Neurospora crassa OR74A: one gene and its partner. Each later gene encodes a partner of the first gene's protein in a complex. Links are inferred from orthologs where the notes say so. Each region holds a gene or a part of one and is shown on either strand. Other genes may lie near its edges. The genes, in order: NCU00360 and NCU03957.

Region 1 (10,894 bases):
ATGGTGAGGAATCCAAAACTTGGTTCGTGAGTGCCTGATTCCGATGTTGGGTGGTTTTGTAACCCCGTGGACTCGGAGACAAGGCCGAGTAATGCCACTGACAGGACATCACGTTCTGTTATCCGACGGTGATCGAATGGTAACAATGGTGACTTCCATTTTGTTTTGGATTCAGCAACAGTTTCGGCGACAGAGATCGCGCGTCTGACAAGCTCTTGCTGATCTGGGTCGAGGTGCGGCCACTGCTTGGTCTGTTCAGCTGCATCGTCTGCGTTGAACGGACGAACAAAGGGATTGTCGTGGGCGTCCAGCTCCAGCACCAGGTCGGATATTTGATAGGTTTCTAGTTCGACCGCTTTCGCAATAGCTCGCTTGTGGCCGAGATTACTTGAGAAGTTCCTCATCCTCTTCCATTCCTCTGCAGTCCTGTGGTTGGGAAACTTGGTGATGTATTCCCATTGCCCAATCGTCCAATGGTCGGGGATTCCTCTTGCCAGTTTTTCTTCCTTTTCTTCGGCAGCAATATTCTCGGGTGTCTTCTTCGTCATTTTCTTCCAATGGTCTTCCGTTAGGTCTTTACTGCTTCTCCTTTCCTTCTTCCTGCGTGCCTTGAGGTCGCCATCTGCGTCGAAGAGAATCTTCCTGAACCTGTCGAACTTGGAATCACTGCCAAGTCGAAGGCTTCTGAGGTAGATTCGCCCTGGCTGAGGCCTTCTCAGGTCGACCTTGTGGAACTTGAGGAAGTCATTGTGAATCTGGCCTACTCTCAAGCGCCTGAAATAGGCTTGGCCGAACTTGGCGGAGCTGAAGTCGATCTTCCGAACGAGTCTCTTCATCAAGCGATCTTTCACTGGAATCTTTTGAAAACGAAGAAAAGTGTTGTTTTCTTGACCGACTCTTAGGGTTCTGAAGTAACGACCGACCCTGTTAGCTCGATCTCTCATGAGGCTGGCTTGACCATAGCCCTTGATTTTCCCCGAGCTTCTTAATTGGCCGAATTTGCTGTGCTTGAAAGTCGGGTGGTTCATAACCCACGTATTCCAGAGGTTGACTCTCTCCTGTCTTCTTTCAGCTTCAGTTTCGGGATAGTTGACAACACTCTCATCATTGGTCTTTGTATGAAGTCCATCTTTGTTGATCGTGGACCTTTGTTGATCTCTGCGACCAGCCCTATTCCAGACGTAGTTTGGGTGCTTTTGCACCCAGTGCTTCCAAAAGTACCGGTTCCTAAGCTCCCGCATCTCCTTTCTGCGGACTCTTGGGCTTTCCACTTGAGGCTCATCCAGTCCAGCTTCGACTCCCTGGATGTCCCCGGATTTTTGAGAATTCGAGGTGAAAAAGGTGTCATCAACGTCAACCCAGCTCCCTGTGGTTTTCTCTTTCTTCTTCCTTTTGGGCATTATGGAGTAGGCGGCCGAAACCTGGACTGGCTGAAATGCCCGAAGGTGCCATCTTGGTGAGGATATTGTGACTAGCTGAAGCCAAGATAATGCAGGCCAGCACCACCTCCGATAAGGTATCATGCTTGTCGTCCACTTGCGCGTGAGAGTTGGCGATCCAGCCTTACCCGACAAGATACGCGACGACTGTAGGCGTTACTGGCGGCTGGGAACTGCTGTGATTGGGAGGAAACGAGGCTGGACTTTGTGTCACCAACTTGAACTGTGAAGAAACACAAGGTGAGTATTGGATGTGCGAAGCTGGCGGCATAGGGCATAGGGCAAGAGGGTGACGGAGAGAAGGAGAGCACTCGGTGAACCATCAATCAGTCAAGTAAACCCTCCTTCCCTCTTGACCGGTTGCACCCGCCCGCGGTGCCTTCCATTTTCTCCTCATCTCCTCGACCGGTCTGCCTAATATTCCTTTCATATTGGTTGCGATGCCGTGTTCTGTGTAACAGGTACAAAGGTACTTTATGGTCAAGAGTGCAAGTTCAATCTGGTCGAAGACGGCACGGAGAAGGTACGAGGCGGGCCGAGACGTTCAACTCCCCCCTCTTGGCGCTGTCTGCAAAATCTGGGGAAGGAGCGCTAGAAAGCCGCTACAGTCAAGTCTGTACATAACGATATGTGCTTACCCCTTGGATTTGATCGTTATTCCCAGATTATCGCAACCTTCAGTAGTGCCAAGCACGCCAAGACTGACTCGAACAGGTACTTGGGTACCAAAAAGCAGTGGTTAAGGTACAGCCAAAGGATGAGTTGGGAATATTTCCATATCTACCACCTAATAGGTATAACAATCACCATACAAACTGAGCCTGAATATTAATCGTAATTGCAATACGGAATACAATCAAGTCTGTACATAACGATATAAGGTATAACAATATCATGTAAATAACGATCAATTTCACTGCCACCGTTCCAGTTGTATGGTGATTTCAGCAGTATAACAATATATTCCGTATTGCGATTACAATTAATATTCAGGCTCAATTTGTATAGTGATCGTTATACCTATTAGGTGGTAGATATAGGAAATATTTCCAACTCATCCTTTGGCTATACTTTAACTATTGCTTTTTGGTACCCAAGTACCTATTCGAATCAGTCTTAGTATACTTAGTACTACTAAAGGTTGTAATGATCTAGGAACAACGATCAAATCCAAGGGGTAAGCACATATCGTTATATACAGACTTGACTGTATATCGTTATACTGCTGAAATCACTATACAACTGGAACGGTGGCAGTGAAATTGATCGTTATTTACACGATATCGTTATACCTCATATCGTTATATACAGACTTGACTGTAGTAAATGTCCTGTAATGATCGGCGCTAAACCTAAAAGACAGGCTCTCACGGCCCACTTATGCATCACTCTATCGTATACAATCGCTGTAGAAAGGCTTGCTCAGCATTCCACTTTCCGTCTTGCCAGGCACTGGCCCTAGCGTCCAGACCAGCCCAGGCACAGCACAGCAGCTTCAGAGAGGCTGTTTTCTTTCCGCTTCATTGACACAATCCGGATTTCACACCACACAACTACTTACCCACACAACACATCTCAACAAAACGAAGTCTATTGAAAATGCCTCCTGAAAAGAAAAGAAAGACCGAGCCCGAAGACAAGGCAGAAGTCACTCAACAAGAAAACGACGTCGCCGAGTCCACGACAGAGCCAAATAATCAGACCGTGACCGATTCCAAGGAGGAGCCATCGGTCACAGAAGCAGCGCTCGCAACGACGTCATCTTCATCACCACCGGTTCTATCAGCCTCGGAGACCGCACAACCTGACACCGCAGCAACATCTCAGTCCTCGTCAACTCCACCCACATCCACCTCTGCTGCAGAGTCTGCGGCCGCCAAAGCTCGCGAGCGTGCCGAGCGTTTCCGTGCCCTCCAAGCCCGCGCCAAGTCATCCTCGCAGCAAAATCTCAAAAAAGCCACCAAAGAATCCCAGCGCCTCCAGAGCGACCCTAGTCAACTCACTGCCCTCGGCCGTCGCCACGCGATTGCCTCCCACAAGCTGCTGAAAGCCGACATTGAAGATGCCGGGGGCGACTTTGAGCGCAAGCGGGCTTGGGACTGGACGGTCGAGGAATCAGAGCGGTGGGACAAGCGCATGAAAAAGAAGGAGGCGCACCGCGATGACACTGCCTTCCGCGACTACAACCAACAAGCCGAAAAGTCCTACAAGCGGCAACTGCGCAACATGGGAGGCCCCGATCTGGAGAGGTACACGCGCGAAAAGTTGGCGGCGATCGAAAAGGCTGCGGCGGCTGGCACATTGGAGATTGTTGAGACAGAGGATGGAGAGATGATTGCGATTGACAAGGACGGCACCTTCTTTAGCACGGCAGACTCGACGCAGTTCGCACAACACAAGCCCGACAAGGCGGCCGTTGATCGACTGGTGGCCGATATGCGCAAGGCCGAGGAGGCCAGCCTTAAGAAAAGGAGGGAGCGCATGGCGAACAACGGCGACGACGCGGACGTCACGTACATCAACGAGAAGAACAAGCAGTTCAACCAGAAGCTGTCGAGGTTCTATAACAAGTACACGGCAGAGATTAGGGACAGCTTTGAGAGAGGAACCATGGTTTAGGGTAACTCTGGGCTTCGTGCGAAGAGGAAACGGCGTTGAAGGATTGATTATTGGTTTTTATATGTCAAGCATCATCGTTTTATACATTGCCAAGGTTATGATTCAGGTAAAATACAGACCATTTGAGCCGATTTTTTGCTCTCAAAGCATAGTTCTCCTCCAACCCTTGTTCGCCAAAGTCTCCAGCTCGGGGACCTCAACTGCCCCTTTAACCGCTGTATCGTCCAATCCTTCCACCACCGCCTCCGCAACCAGATCTGCCTTGAGAGGCTTCGTCCCCGCACTCCCCAAGAAGTCTGATAGCACTCCTCCTGTGGCCCCGTTGAAGATACTTCCCGCCATGGTCATCGCCGCCAGCGGCATCGTCACAGGCCGCGAGCTGTCGTACATGAATGGCGGCCTGAAGAATACACTCCGCATGTCGGGAAACTCCCGCGCGATCACGTCCTCAGCCTCCCTCTTGGTTGAGATATACCTGCTCGGCAACACGGGCGCTCCTCCCGCAGCCGAGATGTATCCAAAGCCCTTAACGCCTTTGTTAGCGGCCTCCTTGGCGAGCAGGATGGCGCTATCGCGGTTCATCATCTCGTAGGTCAACTGGTTCGCGTTGGTCGGAGGACGGAGCTCGTCATCGGGACGACGCTGGAGCGGGTTTGGGGTGTGACGGGGCGAGAAGGCCTTCTGGAGGCCTGCAATAGGAGATTCCCGACCGGAGATGACGCCCTTGTAGTCGGCTTCGAGGAGGATGCCCAGAGAATGGACGACATAGTCAGCACCGTTCAGGAGGGCAATCCACTCGGCGGGGCGGAAGATGTCAGCGCGCTCCCAGGAAACGGCGGTCGACCAGGAGGGAGCGGAGGGGGAGGCGGATACGGAAGACCAGTTCGGTTGGCCGGAGCGACTGGACGTAGAAGAGGTGGTCAGTTCATCCATTTGTAAAGGGTGGAATGATAAGCTATGGAGGATAGTGTTGGAGTATGATACCTAATTGATGTCACATCCCATCCTCTGTGGACAGCCGCCTGACAGATCCTGGAGCCGAGGAAACCGTTGCCTCCGGCGACGATAAGCTTCTTTGCGGCGGACGACATGATGGAAGCTTGCTTGAGGGTGAGAGCTTGGGAAGAAGGATATTATCTCAAGAATAGGTAGCTCAAACACATTGGCTGGTCAGGTTCTTTTTATGTTTATCAGACTCTTTCTCGGCAAACTAGGTTATGCTTCCAGGTTTCCTCTCCGATTTTCTCTCCGCAGAAGTAAACAATCGAAACCCCAGACGATTGCATCATGGAGAGCCTCGATCCGTTATCCAGACTCGAAAAATCCTTATCGAACAATCATCTACAAGGGTGGCACTGATGTCTTTCGATAAATTAGCAGCGCCAAGGGTCCGCTAAACCCCGGAGGGAAAGGGAACCTTAGCAGTTGGGCTTCTCTGCCCCGCATTCAAGGCTGGAACACACCCAACTTTTTTCTCCATCCTTCATGCAGGTACCTTGCTGGTGGTGGCACTTTTGTAATCCTGTAATCATCATTTTGTTCTCTTTGCGCCATCTTCACTTCTTCAAGAATCACGCCTCCCGTACACAGTCATCTAGTCGTATTCAGGTCTGATAAACGACTTGCGTTTGCCCAGCTATATCGCTATAGCTATAGCTTTACCAGTTGGCCTACCGCGTCTGTCGAAACCACCGCGAAACAGCGCGAATCTCCACACTTCGAACAGCTTCAACCTATCCATAACCATCACCGCCAAACAAGATGGCACCACCTACAGGCAAGCGTGTCAAGGGCGTTCAAATATTTCGACCCTTCGTTTACGGAACAACAGCACGGCCCTTCGACGAAAAGACCAACCCCAAACCACCCGGCATTCCAGATGATCACACGCACTCCTGGACCGTTTTCATCAAGGGCATCGACGATGTGGACATTACGTACTGGCTTCGGCGCGTTCAGTTTAAGCTTCACGAGTCCATTCCAAACCATGTTCGAAGTACGTCCCTACCTCCGGTTCTCAAACCTCCCTCCATCCCCTTCGACCTAAGCTAATCAACCGTGTCCCTCCGTCCAGTGGTAGAAGGGGTCAAAGGCCAACCCTTCCAAATACACGAGACCGGCTGGGGTGAGTTCGAAATCACCATGAAGCTGTACTACGTCCCCGAATCCTCCGAGAAGCCTCAAACGCTCTATCACCATCTGCGCCTGCACCCATTCGGCCGCACCGAAGAAGAGAAGGAGGCTATGCGCCTCAACGGCGGCGAGGTCATTTCCTGGGTATACGAGGAACAGATCTTCAACGAACCCTACGAGCCCTTTTACGATATCCTCATCTCCGGCGCCCTCCCGCCATCGGCTTCAACACTGAAAGACGGCGGCGGCGGCGGCGGTAGTGGCGCCGCGACGCCGACCAGTGCGAACACGCCCGGGGCGAGCAGCAGCAAGGGCGGAAATAAGAAAGGGCACGAGAGGAGTCACTCGCGGGCTAGTGTGAGCACGAACAAGGACGGGAAGAACAATAACGAGTCAAAAGAGGAGCCGTTCGTGATACAAAAGTCCGAGGGAGGCGTGCTGGAGAGGAGCGCGATGATCCCTCTGGTTAATAGACCCGGGCAGCCGTTCAGTCGGGAGACGGAACAGTTGGAGATTCAGAAGCTCAAGGAGGCGAAGCTAAAGGTGGATGAGATGAAGAAGCAGATGATGGAGGAGTTGGAGAAGAAGCAGAAACGGCTGGAGGCACTGAGGGCGGAGAGCGCTAAGGCTCCCTAGAAGGAAGTCGAGGAGCGTTCAGCGCAGAAGGCAGCTCGGAGGCGGCGTTCCCGTGTGGCATCTGATCCGGATTATGTTGAGTAAAGGGAGTTGTGGCGTTCATGGGTGCTAAACAGCCAGGGTGTCACAAATTGCATTGCTAGTGTTGGGTAAGGAAAAACGGCGCTTTATCGTTCATCATTTAGGGTTGTTCAAGGCCAGCACGGCACCGAACCATCACCATTACAAGTGCCCATCCATCTCCCTTGAAAGCCCATGACAACATCAATGGCATAAACTCTCAGGCCGCCTCCCCTGCCCCAACCTCCATGAAACACCTCGTCCGGATCCTCGGCACCTCCACCCCCTCATAATACCCCCCCTCTTTCAACACCTCATCCATCCCCTTCCAATACTCCAACTTAGCCTCCCAATTCTTCTTATCCAAATCCGCCAGCTTGGCTTCCACCTTCAAGCCTGCCTTCGAGTCTTCCGATATTCTCACAAAACAGGTACAATCCCTCAACGTCATCGCCAACGCCAGCTTCTCCTGGTCACTCGTCCCCTCCGGCGCCGGGTCCAAGCTCTCTTGCGCGTCCCGCAGCTTGGGCAGCAACGAATTGCTTTGCAGCCAGTGAACAAGCGCGACGCGGTAGCGCTCGTCTACTTGGTCCATTCCTGGCCTGCCATCGTCCTCGCCATCCAGAGAAACAGCCGGTTGCACACCAACGGGATTCTCCCTCGTCGCTGGCTTGGTGTCCAATGAAGCGGAGATGGCAGAAAGGTTCATGGATGCGATGACTCGGGCTAGAGAGCAGGGCGAGGATTGAGCGGCTAGGTACTCGAGGGGGCAGAACGGTGGCTCGTGGCTAAGGGCACAGGAGGAGTTTTGGTCGGAGGAAGCGGAGCGAAGCGATTTGTGTAGGCGGTAGGCTTCGCGGGCACAGTTACGGCAGCGCGTGGCGGTAGAGGGGGCGGAGGGGGAAGGGGTGAGCCATTTGGGTTTGAATTCTAGAAGGAAGTCTAATGGGGATTCTGTGGAGGGGGGATTTAAGTTAGAGACAAAAGTACTGGAGGGAAAGCGGAGAAGGGTGAAGAGGGACGAACTCTTCCTCATATCCTCAACCAACATGCCATACTCGGCCTCGGCCACCTTGGTACCCTGGAAATCTGCCCTACGCTGGGCGTCTTCATTTTCAAGAATTGCATTGAGTTGCGAGACGACGGAATTGTTTAGACGAATGAGGTACTGCTGTACTAGGTCTTCCTGGGGGTTATCGAAGAGTGGACTGATGGATGACTCCCAGTACTGAAGGATTTCGGGGTGTGGAAAGGCTTTGGTATTGGCCTTTGGTACTCGTAAGAGTTTCCCTGTGATGATCTTAGTATTGACGTCTCATGTGGTGAATAGGGCTAAAGGTAATAGTCACCGTGTAGGATGTCCAAGATCTGACTATCGCCATCATCCTGAGTGGTGATGTCTTCCTCAGGAAAGACAACCTCAAAGACTATGTTGGCGGCGCCTTCACCGATGAACTTGAACTGGCAATTGGTGCCTTTCAAGCTGGCTAGGTCTGCTACTGGTTTTGGTGACATGATTACATTTACTATAATTCAGTTCGTCTGCAAGTTGAACAATAAGTGACTGCAGTTGGGCTTGTTGTTTTCCGTTGAAGTTGCTGATTGACATTGTGACGTAGAAAGGAGGCGCGGTTTCAGCTAAGGTAGGAATTGTTTGGGGCTAGCGGCAACGTGTAACCAAAACAAACGGGCACAGTAATTGGCAAGGGAAGTGATGCCTTTCTTGGCAATGGTGAGCCGAGTGAAGCTTGAGTTTTCCTTGCCACCGAAGATCATCAGGGCAGGAATGGAGTTCGTCTGATATTGTGGTGCTAGGCGTCAACTTTCATTAAACTTTCACTTTGACCTGTATGGTAATGAAGTCTTCTCAACAAGGTGACCCATGGTTCCAAACTGGTTTTGGGGGGGGTTCAAGGTACGGAATGGAAAGGGAAGACGTTCCAGGCATCTATTTTTGAACCACAGCATGACTGAGCATTGGACAGTCGTATCAATACAAAGCTGCTGTGATGTCCCCCTTGACCATACATACGTGTAACTGCGTATAAGCACAAGGTAGGTGTTTGGGGAACCGTCCTTTCCAGAGTACCCACCCCGGAAGAAACAGCATTCCATCGACACCAGAACATCGGGATTATCTTCATGACCCCGCCCGGTGCCCCGGTCCCCGTCTCCAAACAGATACCCCAGAAACCGAGGCTTCCCGAATGTGACGGGTCCTGCCGATGGATCCGATAACGACGGATAACGGACAAGATTCATCAGTGCCCAAAGCCAAAAAAACAAGTGTGGCTGGCTGTCCCTCACAAAGCACACGACGGGTTACCCCTCTCGGGATTTAAAGTCGAACAAACCTCCGGGCTCTCCCCGACTGGTGAGGCTTACCTTGCCTCCCCCTCCCAGGTCCGCATTCCCAGAGGCTCAAAATCCACTTGAAAGGCCCTAACAACCGTTCAGTCCGTCCCAATGATGACTGAGACATTGGTTCGATGTGCCAATGCGATATGCCTCTTTGAAGTGCATTGGATTATTTCCCCTCATTCTCCTGGGCTGTCTTGAAAGGTTTTGGTGGGAGGCTCTGCGTCGTCATTGGTGAGTGCCGCTGGGGGGTTCCAGTGCCCTTGCGTGTTCCATGTTTCCAGCTGCTTCACAACCGCAGGGCAAGAGCGCACCACTGCTCCCACTGCATTCATCCAATTCATATGGCATCAAGTAGAGGTACTGTAGGTTGTACCTTAGCTACGTTCCGCAGGGCATCCAGCATCCAGGCCGCATCAATTCTCCCCTTTCCACTTTCTTTTTGTTTCGTCAACGGCTAAACAAGCTGCGCCGATTAAACAGATCAAGCAAGACACTGCTAACGTCCGGTTGCAGCGACTGTCCCTGCGTTGGTTGGAGCGTGTTTCAATGCGTACCTCGGACTTAGTGTGCTGTCTTATAATAAGACTTCATTCTGCCTGACCGCTTCCATGTATTATGCAGTGTAGACAATACTTAATAAACAATGCTATTCCTCAACCAGTCTTAATTGAACGACAAAACGCCTTCCACGCGGTTCGATTAATGAGCAGGAGCTGGGCATATCAGGCGCTCGTTGTTCCCAAATCGCCGCTCCAGCGAATGTCAGCCCACTGAGGGACTGCCAAGTGAGCATCAGCAACAGCGTCAGAAGATCCGGTGCCACCCGCACTGCTACCCCCAAGCCACACAGCGTCCCACGTACCACCTTCCCTTGCACCCTGACGCAGTCACACTTGCCTGCTTTTGACTGCAGTGCATGAAGTGAACGAAAAGAGCGACACGCGCGAAAAATTTCAGAAAAAGGCCCGCCCACAAAATAGCGTCATGGTCATCCTGTCCACATCCTGACCCCATTGTAATCTCCAACTCCCGCCGACCTCAGCACGTGAACTTACCTACAACACCCGCTACCCCGGGCAATTCTGCCAATTCTACAATACCAAACCGCACAACCTCGGACCTCCAGGTCTCTTTTCCGCAACATCCTTCGATCGGGGACTCGAATACCTACTGTCACCACTGCTGCGCGACCGATCCCGAGCGCATCGTCGAACGCATTGTCCATTTTGGGTTGCATTCCGAGCTCCGTCATTGCTGGCAATTTGGCCAGCAATCTTCGACGACCCAGCGTCTCCTCCGCACCGACGGAAGCAACCATTATTCAACACCCGCCCTCCGATTGCCATGTCTGACTAAAGACAACGCCAACTCAATATGGCCTTCAACTTCAACTGGTCGCCGCTGACGGCCGATGCCGGCTTCTACGAACGGGCACGCGACCTCCTCACGACAGCCTTGAACAAGTCGCCCAAGCCCCCGATCATTGTCGATGACATCTTCGTGACCGAACTCAACCTTGGCTCCGTGCCGCCCGACCTGGAGATTTTGGAAATAGGAGATTTGGCAGAGGACAGGTTCCGCGGCATTTTCAAAATGTGCTATTCTGGCGACGCCTTCTTGACTTTGGCAACACGAGTGCAGGTACG
Region 2 (10,189 bases), on another chromosome or scaffold:
AATCCAAGTTTCTATGAGGATGTTTGGTCTCGTGTTGCTGAGAACAACACCAAGATCTACCGCCGCGTCTTCCATGTCATGCCCGATTCTGCAGTAACGAACTGGGCCGAGTACAAGGAGTTCAAGGCTAACGAGCGGGAGTTCAAGAAGCAGTTTGAAGGTGGCAAGGCAAGCGAGGAAGTCAATGAGAAGAACGGAGTGACCGCTGAGCATGCGCAAACCAGTGCTGGAGCCGGTATCAGCGCACCGGGCCCAGCTCAACTCACCAAGAGCTTGACGGAGAAGCTAGTCACTCCTGTCTCCAAGCTCAGCGGCGGTGGTGACAAGGGAGCTCGGGAACGCACAGGCTCAACTACTACGTTGGACGAGAAGGGGGCCACGAAGGACCACACACGCAAGGCTCAGACCTTCCCACTCGATGCTGAGAAGGGTGCGATGTTGACGGCGTCGCAGAACCCCGGCGAACGCCCACCCACAGCAACACCCAAAGACAGCGCTGATTCGAACCACGATGATACCAGGGCGTCTGGAGACTTCCTGAGCGCCAGCATCACCAACAACAAGGAGCGACACGCCACCTTCTCCAACAACCAAGATCCTAACCCTCCCCCAACCTCAGCCAGCGGCGGCTCCACCACCACCATAGCCGACAACAGCAACGCAGCCCCCAACATTGCCAACGGCAACGGCGCCGCAGTATCCTCCGACAACACAGCAACCGCATCCGCCACGGGCACTAATGGTGCTAATGTCAAACCAGCCGCATCCACCAGGCAGCAGCGTCGTAGGGCGAACACTGGCCGTAGTAAGCGCGGGTATAATCCATTCGACGCTCAGACTCTAAACCCGGCAGAGGCCGAGGAGACGCTCAGGTTGACCCAGGGAACGCTGGTCCAGTTTCCTTATGACTGGCTGGTCACGGAGGAGAACAACGGGAATTGGTTGTTCCAGGTTGATCAAGTGGCACCGTTGCAGATTTAGTAAGTTTTCTTTTCTTTTCTTTTCTTTTCCTTCCGAAAACGACTTGTATAAGTGCAAGTTAGGATGGGTGCTAACCACAGTGTTTCTCTAGTAACTAAATATGCTTGTCTGCTGCGTTGTTCCACGGTTGTGGGCTTCACATACCTGCGTCATCCTGTTCTACCCCCTTCGCACACCTTTTCCCTACGGCCATATTTCACCCTTGCTTTGCCTATCTTCGCAAACAACATGGAATCGGAGCGGCGGAAGATAAAGACTCATCATATGTAGTAACATTTAAGTATTCATGGCAAGGCGTTGTTGGGTTGGCGGGTTACATACATATTAGCATTCGGTGGCAACCTCTTGCTTTTCTCGAGTCATTCTTCCTCGTCAGCCATTTATTACTATCATCATTATCAAAGCTTTCAGGACAAGCAAACGCCGGCAGTATGTAGAGGTATGTCCTTTAATCATAGCATGCAGAATACTTGGTACCTAGGCAGTTTATTCTTTTCGATTTTACCTTCTTTGTTATATATACCTAGTTAGTTATTTGTCTGATAGGACACGGACTTTTTCTTGGCTATACTTTTCTTATCTCTTTGAATCCACAACTGGTATATGCAAGCATGCACGCAGGTATTCTCACAGCTTTTATTCATCATTTTGCCGTACCAAATATACCTTTAGACTTAGGTTTACTTCGACGCTTCGTTCCCAGCCTGACCAGCCAATCTTTTGCTCATAACCGCCAAGCAAATGAAAGCCGAGCCAAGACGACCCAAAAAGCTTATGGAGCTATCTATTGACTTAGAGCCCCTAAGTAACTATCCCAGATCTTCCCATCAAAGCTCAATATCAATGCCCAGATCCATGGCGCCAATGATCTCATCGTCCATCAGCGGCGCCGAAATAACCGGCAAGCCGTTCTTCTTCTGTTGCAACCTGTGCTGCTCCTGCAACTTTGCAATATGCGGCAATACTCCGTTGCTGTTCTTGGACTCGCTCTTTGACGGCGTGTCCGGCGCAGGGGTTCCTGCCTTGGACGGACTCGGCGTGGCCTTCTCGGACGAGTCGTGCACGAACTTGGGCCTGGTAATGAGCCTGCGGCTCATGTCCTCCTGGACGGCCTCGCCACGCTCAATCTTCCTCTCGATTTGACGAGCCTTGGCACGCTCGCGAAGCTGAGCCTTGCGGACCTCTTCGGCATTGCGCCGGCGGTTCTCCATGTTTTTGAGCGCCAGCTTCTCCTGCTGGGTCAGCTCCTTCTTGCCGTCTTTCTTGGTGAGGGAGGTACGGAAGGCAAGGCGGGGCACCTCGAGTTTCTCGAGACGCTCCTGGTAGCGGGCGATGGCGGCCTCGTCGTTGGCCTGGCGAGCGATGTCGAGCTGCTTCTTGAGGTATTCGCGTTGGGCACCAGAGAATTTGGCCTGCAGGGCGTTCTGACGCTTGAGCTTGTCCGAGAGCTCCTGCTCGGTCCACGTACGCTGGACGAGGCGGTTGATGTCATCGATCTTGTCGACAAGGGTCTGTTTGTCTGGGAAGGGGACACCCTCGGCAAGACAGACTTGTTTGTAACGGTTGTACTCGGCCTGTTGAGGGTCTGATTAGAGATGATGACAAGCGAGGAAAGAACAGGCACGCATACCTCTGTAAACTTTCGGTCGGAACATGTGATCAAAGGCCACTCCCTGACGGCTTTACCGTGGGCAGCCTTGACATACATATCGACGACCATTTGGTGACCCTGATGATCTTCCAAGGCATATGCCTTACCGGTAGTGAAACCTGCATTCCGAGCGTTAAACGACATCTCAGCTTAACAAGGGTCTAACGGGAATGATCTTACCCTTAATGAGAGCCATACGGTAGACATCCTGGCGAGTGTCGGGATCGGGACCAATATTCAGGCGAACAAAGCATCCTGTGAGTGCTTCATCAAAGCCGGGGTAGAAAGCAACCTCGGCAAAGCGACTGCGGCCAACACGAACACGCTCAAAGTCCCGAAGCTCAGCAGGCGGGCTTTCTCTGCTCTCTGGCGAACGAGATCTGTGCTTCTTGTTGCTCGGGCCATCCCAGTCCACGTCGCTATCATCACCACGACCGGGGCTGCGTCGGTACGAAGGCGAACGCTTACGACGGTCATTTTCCCGCTCTCGCTGCTCCTTGCGGTTGGAGCGTTCCTCCCGGGCCCGCCGGAGAGAATCCATCTTGTCGTCGGCCTTGGTGCGAGCCCGTGATGTCTTGCGTGACGAATCATCGAGCTCGGCTAGGCTTGCCTTGCGCTTCTTCTCTTGGTTGACCTTCAGCTGGCGAAGCATGCGGTTCTGGCGGATACGTTCATTCTCCTCTCGACGCTCGGCCAGAATCTGTTCCCTCTCGATTTCACGCATGCCCATGATCTGCTCCTTCTCTTCGTAGTCGCGGAAGAGACCGTCGACAGGGTACTGGTTCACCTCATCGTCAACACTACGCCTCGCCGGCGAGGCATCTGAGTCTGAGTCTGATTCGTCCATGGGGGCAGAAGCTTGGGAGTCCGGGGATCCCGGCGGAGAGCTGCCGAAGAGAAGTTGTTTAGCCTTGACCATCATCTTGAGCAGCATGGTGGGCGGGGTGATTGAGAGGAATCAAGAAGGGAAGGAGGCAAGAGGAGGAGCAGAAGGGGTTGATAAAGGCGAGCTGTAGGCTGAGGTCGATGTGGCGCATGGGTGACATGTAGAACGGCAGCCCTAGGGCTACCTGAGAGCTGGGTGAAGGAAAAGAAAGACAAGCACTCACGCCTGGCCCTCGTCCTCCGACTCGTCATCGCTTCTGGCACGTTTCCTTCCCACTGACTTCTTGGCCGTTCCCCTGGTAGACGTATCCTTCTTCCTCGGTTCTGGTGACGGGGAGCGGGAATCGTCCCTGCTCATGTCCATAGCCTCATCTCCGCTGTCATCGGAGGCGTCACCGCCTGCAAGGGCGAGCAACTCGTCGTCGATGTCTGACATGGTCGCTTGTCTGTCACGGGCTGTCGGTTCTTATAAAGCTGCTTCTGTGTGGCTGTAAGCGCTAGGGCTATGCAATGGCTGCTGCGCAAAGCAGGGTTCGATGGAAAACCGTCGGGTGCAGATGGCGAACGCGATGTCGGGATACGTCGAGTGAAGGGCCGAACTGATTCTTCCAAACACTTGTTGGTGGATATGATCGGAACCAACAATGTTCTCCCAATTGTGGGTTAACAATGCGCCAAAATCAAAAAGTCGTTATGCAATCGGGTGGTGTTGAGGCGGCGACGGGAGCGATGAATGAGTGAGGCGACAAGAAAGTCCAAAGCGGGATGAGAGAAAGGTTAGTATAAGTAGAAGGGAGGTGAACTCCTATTGTCCAGCAGTTATCAATAGGAATTCAATGGGGTCTGGTCTAGGCTGATGGTAAGGTAAGTACCTACTTTATGGAACTTGGGCGGCGCGACCTGGAACTCCACCCGCTTGTGCGCGACCTGACGGACAACTTCAACGTCCAGGGGCAGTGCTTGGCGTGACGGGAGTTGGTGAGTGGTGGTGGTGGTCAAGGCGCCCAAAAGTTCCACACCGCCCAAAGGTTAGATCAGGCCCGTTGCCGGCCCGGCAAAAGCCCAATTGAATTGAGTCCCGTCGTCCTTTTGACCCTTGGCTTGACCAACGTCATCGCATGTGCAGGCAGCCCTGTGGAGCACTCAGCGATGGAGCTTCCCGTTCGAGGTCGCCGTGATTTTGTAAGTGGGCCGACTTTCGAGGTCCCGTCTTTCACTCGGCCTCGGCGCATCTCCCCCGAGCTTACTGTACTCCGTCGCAACAACCGCCTCCGGTCCGTGCAACATCAGCTTTCACCAACTCGTCCCAAGTCTTCCTCCAACACGCAAGACCGAAAAGACCGTCACAGCCCATATCATGCTTCGTCCAGCAACCAGGCCAGCCCTCGTGGCCACCAGACAGGTCCGGCAATGCGCCGCGCGCTTCTTCTCCTCCCCCGTCTCGCCTGATACCAGCTCCTCGCATGTCCACAGCCCCTCCACAACCCCCGAGACCAACCCAGCACCACCACCACCAAACTCCAGGTCGTCGACAAGTTCTTCCAAGGGTAAAAAACCCCTCACTGCCGAGCAGCGCGCCTTCCTCTCGTCCGCCCTCCGCGTAAACCAGGCCGGCGAGCTCGCCGCCACCCTCATCTACACGGGCCAGACCCCGCCTCTCGTAACCCGGGACCCCTCGCTGCGCCCGCTCATGAAGCACATGTACGACCAAGAGGCGGCGCATCTGCGCACCTTCAACGACCTGATCTACCGCCACCGCGTACGGCCCACGGCGCTGTACCCGCTTTGGTCCGTCATGGCCACGGGCTTGGGCTGGGGCACCGCCATGCTGGGCAAGGAGGCAGCCATGGCGTGCACCGAGGCGGTAGAGACGGAGATTGGCGGCCATTATAATGCCCAGATCCGTAAGCTGCTGGAGATGGTGAGCGAGTGGGAGGCTGAGGGGTATGAGGTTGGCGCAGAGTTCAGGCATCTGATCAACACGTTGAGGAGGATACGGGATGAGGAGCTGGAGCACCTGGATCATGCGGTTGAACATGATGCGCAGAAGGCGGAGCCGCACTGGTTGTTGACGGGGGTGATTAGGGCGGGGTGCAGAGGTGCCATTTGGGTTAGTGAGAGGGTGTAAGAGGGGGGTTTTCTTTGGGGTCGGTACGTGAAGGGAAAAAAGTTAATTTTGAAGGAGGATTGTGTCGATGAAGATGAGAACGAATTCATGAGGGGACAGGAGCATTAGCATTATGCTCTGCAAAGCACGGATTACAAACCTGTCCGTTTGTACTATTAGCTTATTGGGAGGGTAGGCGACGAAGCGAAAGCACCGATGTGCTGTTTCGACCAGTTCACTCAGTTCTTGAAGCACCTCGACAACAGCACTCATTCACAAATGGCCGCTTTCTCAAGGCATCACTGCTAAGAGCAGAGGTGGCTCATTTTGCTTTAGTGTGGAGTCCATATGAAAATCAGCGCGTGGCGTGGGTAGCTTAGGTCACTAGGAGAGAAGAGGGTTCACTTCGAATTGGTATCTAGGTCACTCTTGTTCTTTGCGCGTCTTTCACAAAGATAAGCATGAGTTGGCAACACTGATGGCTCGACTCATGGGCTACATCACAAGCTCAATATTGCTGAGGCTTTGGTTTCATATCCGGGTACGCTTGTGGCTGCTGCTCGAGTCGGCGGTGAGTGTCACTTTTTTTTTTTTTTTTTTTTTTTTTTTTTTTTTTTTTTTTTTTTTTTGGATGAATTCCCCACATCGACAACGTCAGTGCTTCAGTCATTCTAGGATCATCTCAAGACGCAACGTCAACATGCTGGATTAGTTGGAATGGCCTAATATTTTTGAGGAGGTACGGAGACCGCGATCGAGGAGCTGGATTCTCGTGAGCCTGATTGTCCCAAGCTGGAGGAAAGAAGAGTAAAATAGCATGCTAACCTCATTGGCAAAGCGTCGATGACTTCTGGGGAAAAGACAGCGCAACAAAAGACAACCCGCCAGGGCTGCAATCATCAAGCCATCCTCAAATCACTGAAAGGTTGAAAGAGGGATACCAAGGAGAGCGAAGATAACACCCCATCTCACGGAGGAAGCCATTCGAACAAGGCATATGAGAGTCAAGCTATCCGCATGACACCTCGTAACGAATAATGTGTGCCACACTCACCAGCATCAATCACTATTACTACTCGGGGGGCATCACATTTGATGCGGGACAGAACAGAAGCATAACATCACCTTATATACCTTCGCACTATCGAATGGCCCGTCCGTTTGTCTGGTAAGGATAGGTAGGTAGCGCAATAGAAGAGACATGAAAAAGAAAGTGAAAGTGACCATCACGGTCACAGTGACCAAGCCCACATGGTATTTATCAACCAACTTCATTTACACACACACACACACACACACACACAAAAGCACAAAGGAGACAGGATCATCATATCATGTTCACTTGTCGTTGGGAAAAAAAGAAAAAAATTGAAAAAAAAAATTGAAAAAAAAACCCCCATCCCATGTTCACCATATCACACTCACACCCCTGGACACTCCGGACGTCGTTGGATAGTGGACACTAGGTACGAGTAGTACAGCGGCAACCAAGCCGAAGCCCTTGTCCGATTGGTTAACGATGGCCGTCTGCAAGCGCCGGGAGTTGTGAGTCTTTAAGGGTTTCTGGCCAATCAGGACCTGGATTGGCTAGCGTACCTGGATTGTTTCAGGGCCGCCAGGGGGAAAGGATCACAGTGATGGGTTGGGAGTGGACGGCGCTAGTGCGGAGGCGGAATTGTTTGGGCGGACAGGGGCCATGGAGTTTTATGTGCTGGTACTATCTGGGCCTGACCTCTTTTCTGTGTTTTCTCTTCGTCAATGGACGTTGTTGTTGAATGAAATTGCCTATACACGTGAGACAGTGGAAGCAATGGCGGCGGTAAGGCGCAACGAGAACGGATACCTAAGTGAGGTCAAGTAATATCAAGACAGGCCGCTGGTCGCTGGATGATCACCTAGGTATGTAGTCGGGAAGGCGAGAAACCGTTCTTTGATGTAGTAATGGAAAGACAAAGTGCCGAATGCAACGGTCGGCGACTCGTTGATGGTGATATTTGAGTGAGACAGCATGACCATTGACCAGGTTCAACCAGGCACGCCCAGGCACAGTAAACGCAGGCGAACCTCGGCGTCACATAACGACAGACCCGGATAAATCGACTGTGTGCCCAGATATTTCGGCGGTGTGGGGCCATACAAACTGAGCACCAAGCCAAGCCAAGAAGCCAAGACCCTTGAACTTGGCAATTGGCATTAACTTTGCGCGTAGTCACCTACCCTTCCTCGCCTTCTATTAACGACAACTTAGAGCAACTAATTGGTATTGACTTTGGAGCTCCCGTTGTATTACTCTTTGGCTCTAGGAGTAGTACTTTCCAACGGGCTGTCTCCGACCTTGGCCTCGCGTTTGTCTCTATGCATCCTTAGCTTCAAATGCCTCATTTCCACCACCATCTCTTAGTCCTTCGAATTCTATCTCCCTCATCTTGAGAAGCAACTCAAGGCAAGCATCGCATTGTAAGAATGACCATAGCGAACGCTGGTGTAGTGTAGAGGTAGTTGAGCCGCTGGGATTCCATGACACCTCATTGGCTAGTTAGGTTCCACACCGCCGAAATATCTGGGCACACAGTCGATTTATCCGGGTCTATAACGACAGGTGAAGATTTCGTCCGCATTGAAAGATTGGGCATCGTCAGATCACAGTACCTTGCCTAGCGGGGAGAAGGGAGCGGGGGCATTGGGTCCTTTTAAGCATACACTAAGGTAGCTCCTCTAGGAGGCAACCACTCAAGGAAGCGGGAAGAAGAAGAGGGCCTAAGTCTACTCCATTAAGTACTGCTCACTGTCGAATCACGGTATCAACCATTAACATCGCACATATACCTCTTTTGGAAGTAGGAGTAGCCGCCGCGAGCCCACGAAGCAACACCGGCGTTTATACAAATTACATACCCACCTACCTACCAACCCCTACAACCACCTCTATTGCCTCCCAAACGCCCGCCTTTTTTTTTTTTTCCCTTTCTGGTCCTCCTCCTCTTTGATTGCGTTTCATATTTTTTATTCACTTTCCTCTTCCCACTGTCATATCATTCATCACCCGACTTTGACAGTCGCGCGTCGCATTCCTATCGGTCTCGACTTTTCATTGCTTGCCGTGCAACGCAACTGAGAATAAAGAAAAATAAAGTGGTCTCACCTCAGTTCATATCGACCTTTTCGACATCAGACCGACATCTCATAATCACGTCACTACGAGGCCGGGCCTGGTTTGGAACAAGAGACAGCAGTGGCAGTTATATAAAGGGAGGGGAACCCCCAGCAACTGCAGTCATGTCGTCAGACGCCAACTACGAGCCGGATGCGAACCCAGGAAGCGTCGGTGCTGGTCCAGACATGGGAGACAGTGGAAGTATCGCCGGTGCGGCCGGGACGTCATCAAACGACGTCGGGCTATCTCAAGGTGGTCTGATCGCCATCATTGTGGTTGTTTGTGTCGTCACCATCTTCGGTGGTAAGTCTTTCTCGCCCATCAGCAATACTGCACTGACCGGACATGATATTGACCCTCCCTCCAACAGTCGGTAGCGCAGTTCTCTTCTTCCTGGCAAAGAAAAATGAGTGGAAGGTCAGGGAGACCATTCGAAAGTCGGCAAAGAGGGTCGTCACGGCTTTGACCCCACGACGCAGCGAGTTCCCCAGATCGGTCAAGGGATCTTTCCGATCAACCAGATCCCAACATAAAGGCCGTGTAAGGATCGATGATGTGCCACCCACCCCGCGCATCAAACCCGAGCATCTGGATTTGGAAAAGGGCATGGGGAAGCCGGAGAAGTCAGGAAAGACACGCATCAACTTCAGTCGGAAGTGAGCCGGTGTGGCGCAAGAGAAAATCAGACAGCACGAGTTGAGATATAATGAACCATTTGATGACGAAAATGGCAAGCTTGGGGTATATTTTGGGTATCGCTGGTCGCGCGAGCCTATTGCTTTGCGACTCGTATTCGGAAAGAAATGTGTGCCGTGGACGGCAATGATGTTCTTGGCCGGTTCACCACGGCCTGGAGGAGTTGACATGAAAGATACCATGACTTTTTCACATGTATAGTATATAGGGTTGGACCAATAAGCTTCTGGCGTTTTACAGTCGTCTAAAGGTGTTCGTGCTTGCACTTCGCCTCCCATCATGTCTCTTCCGTGTTGGTGCAGCCTCGGGTTCAGCCTGCTTCTTCTTCTTGGACTCGGGCACGAACGTAATCTTCTGCTCTCCGACCACGTCCGTTCGGGTCTTAGTGACGCGCCCGGTCCTTGGAGCTCTTTGGCCGAATGCCGTATCCTTCGCCTTGCCGCCCGCAATCTTGGACGACGAGACCTGCATGACCACGTCATCCTTGCTCTTCTTGCTCTTCTTTTTCTTGCTTTCGACCTCGCTTTCCGGATCGCTCTCATCGTCACTGTTGCTGGTAACTGAAGAGTCGTCCTTGACATGCTGTACTGCGACATCTTGTCCGCCAACCTGGGTGCTGGGGTTGAGGGCTCTGAACTCCCTGGACGTCTCATCGACCTTGAACTCCTCATCCTCGAACAGCTTGCCGAAACGAGAATCGCCCAAGACGCCAGCG

The links.
Region 2: NCU00360 (region 1) and NCU03957 share a complex: the UniProt entries of both Saccharomyces cerevisiae proteins name them as parts of the multi-subunit COQ enzyme complex. The link is inferred for Neurospora crassa OR74A from reciprocal best matches to the Saccharomyces cerevisiae genes COQ11 and CAT5.

What each region holds. Positions count from the first base shown.
Region 1 is NC_026503.1:3,570,022-3,580,915, reverse strand, and holds NCU00360 (NAD dependent epimerase/dehydratase), read right to left. Parts: upstream 5,366-10,894; 5' UTR 5,150-5,365; coding exon 5,043-5,149; intron 4,960-5,042; coding exon 4,200-4,959; 3' UTR 4,059-4,199; coding exon of another isoform or gene 3,039-4,058; 3' UTR 2,996-3,038; downstream 1-2,995. Other genes in the region: NCU00362 (hypothetical protein), read right to left, coding at 1-1,523; NCU00361 (pre-mRNA-splicing factor syf-2), read left to right, coding at 3,039-4,058; NCU00359 (YEATS family protein), read left to right, coding at 5,820-6,054, 6,133-6,827; NCU00358 (hypothetical protein), read right to left, coding at 7,108-7,841, 7,914-8,177, 8,237-8,402; NCU00357 (hypothetical protein), read left to right, coding at 10,623-10,889. UniProt on the Saccharomyces cerevisiae protein: Component of MIOREX complexes, large expressome-like assemblies of ribosomes with factors involved in all the steps of post-transcriptional gene expression. Component of a multi-subunit COQ enzyme complex required for coenzyme Q biosynthesis.
Region 2 is NC_026506.1:2,236,939-2,247,127, forward strand, and holds NCU03957 (COQ7), read left to right. Parts: upstream 1-4,600; 5' UTR 4,601-4,874; coding exon 4,875-5,645; 3' UTR 5,646-6,153; downstream 6,154-10,189. Other genes in the region: NCU03955 (phospholipase D1), read left to right, coding at 1-980, 1,073-1,079; NCU03956 (hypothetical protein), read right to left, coding at 1,809-2,555, 2,612-2,751, 2,813-3,519, 3,742-3,953; NCU03960 (hypothetical protein), read left to right, coding at 8,901-9,081, 9,149-9,438; NCU03961 (WD repeat protein), read right to left, coding at 9,709-10,189. UniProt on the Saccharomyces cerevisiae protein: Catalyzes the hydroxylation of 2-hexaprenyl-3-methyl-6-methoxy-1,4-benzoquinol (DMQH2) during ubiquinone biosynthesis.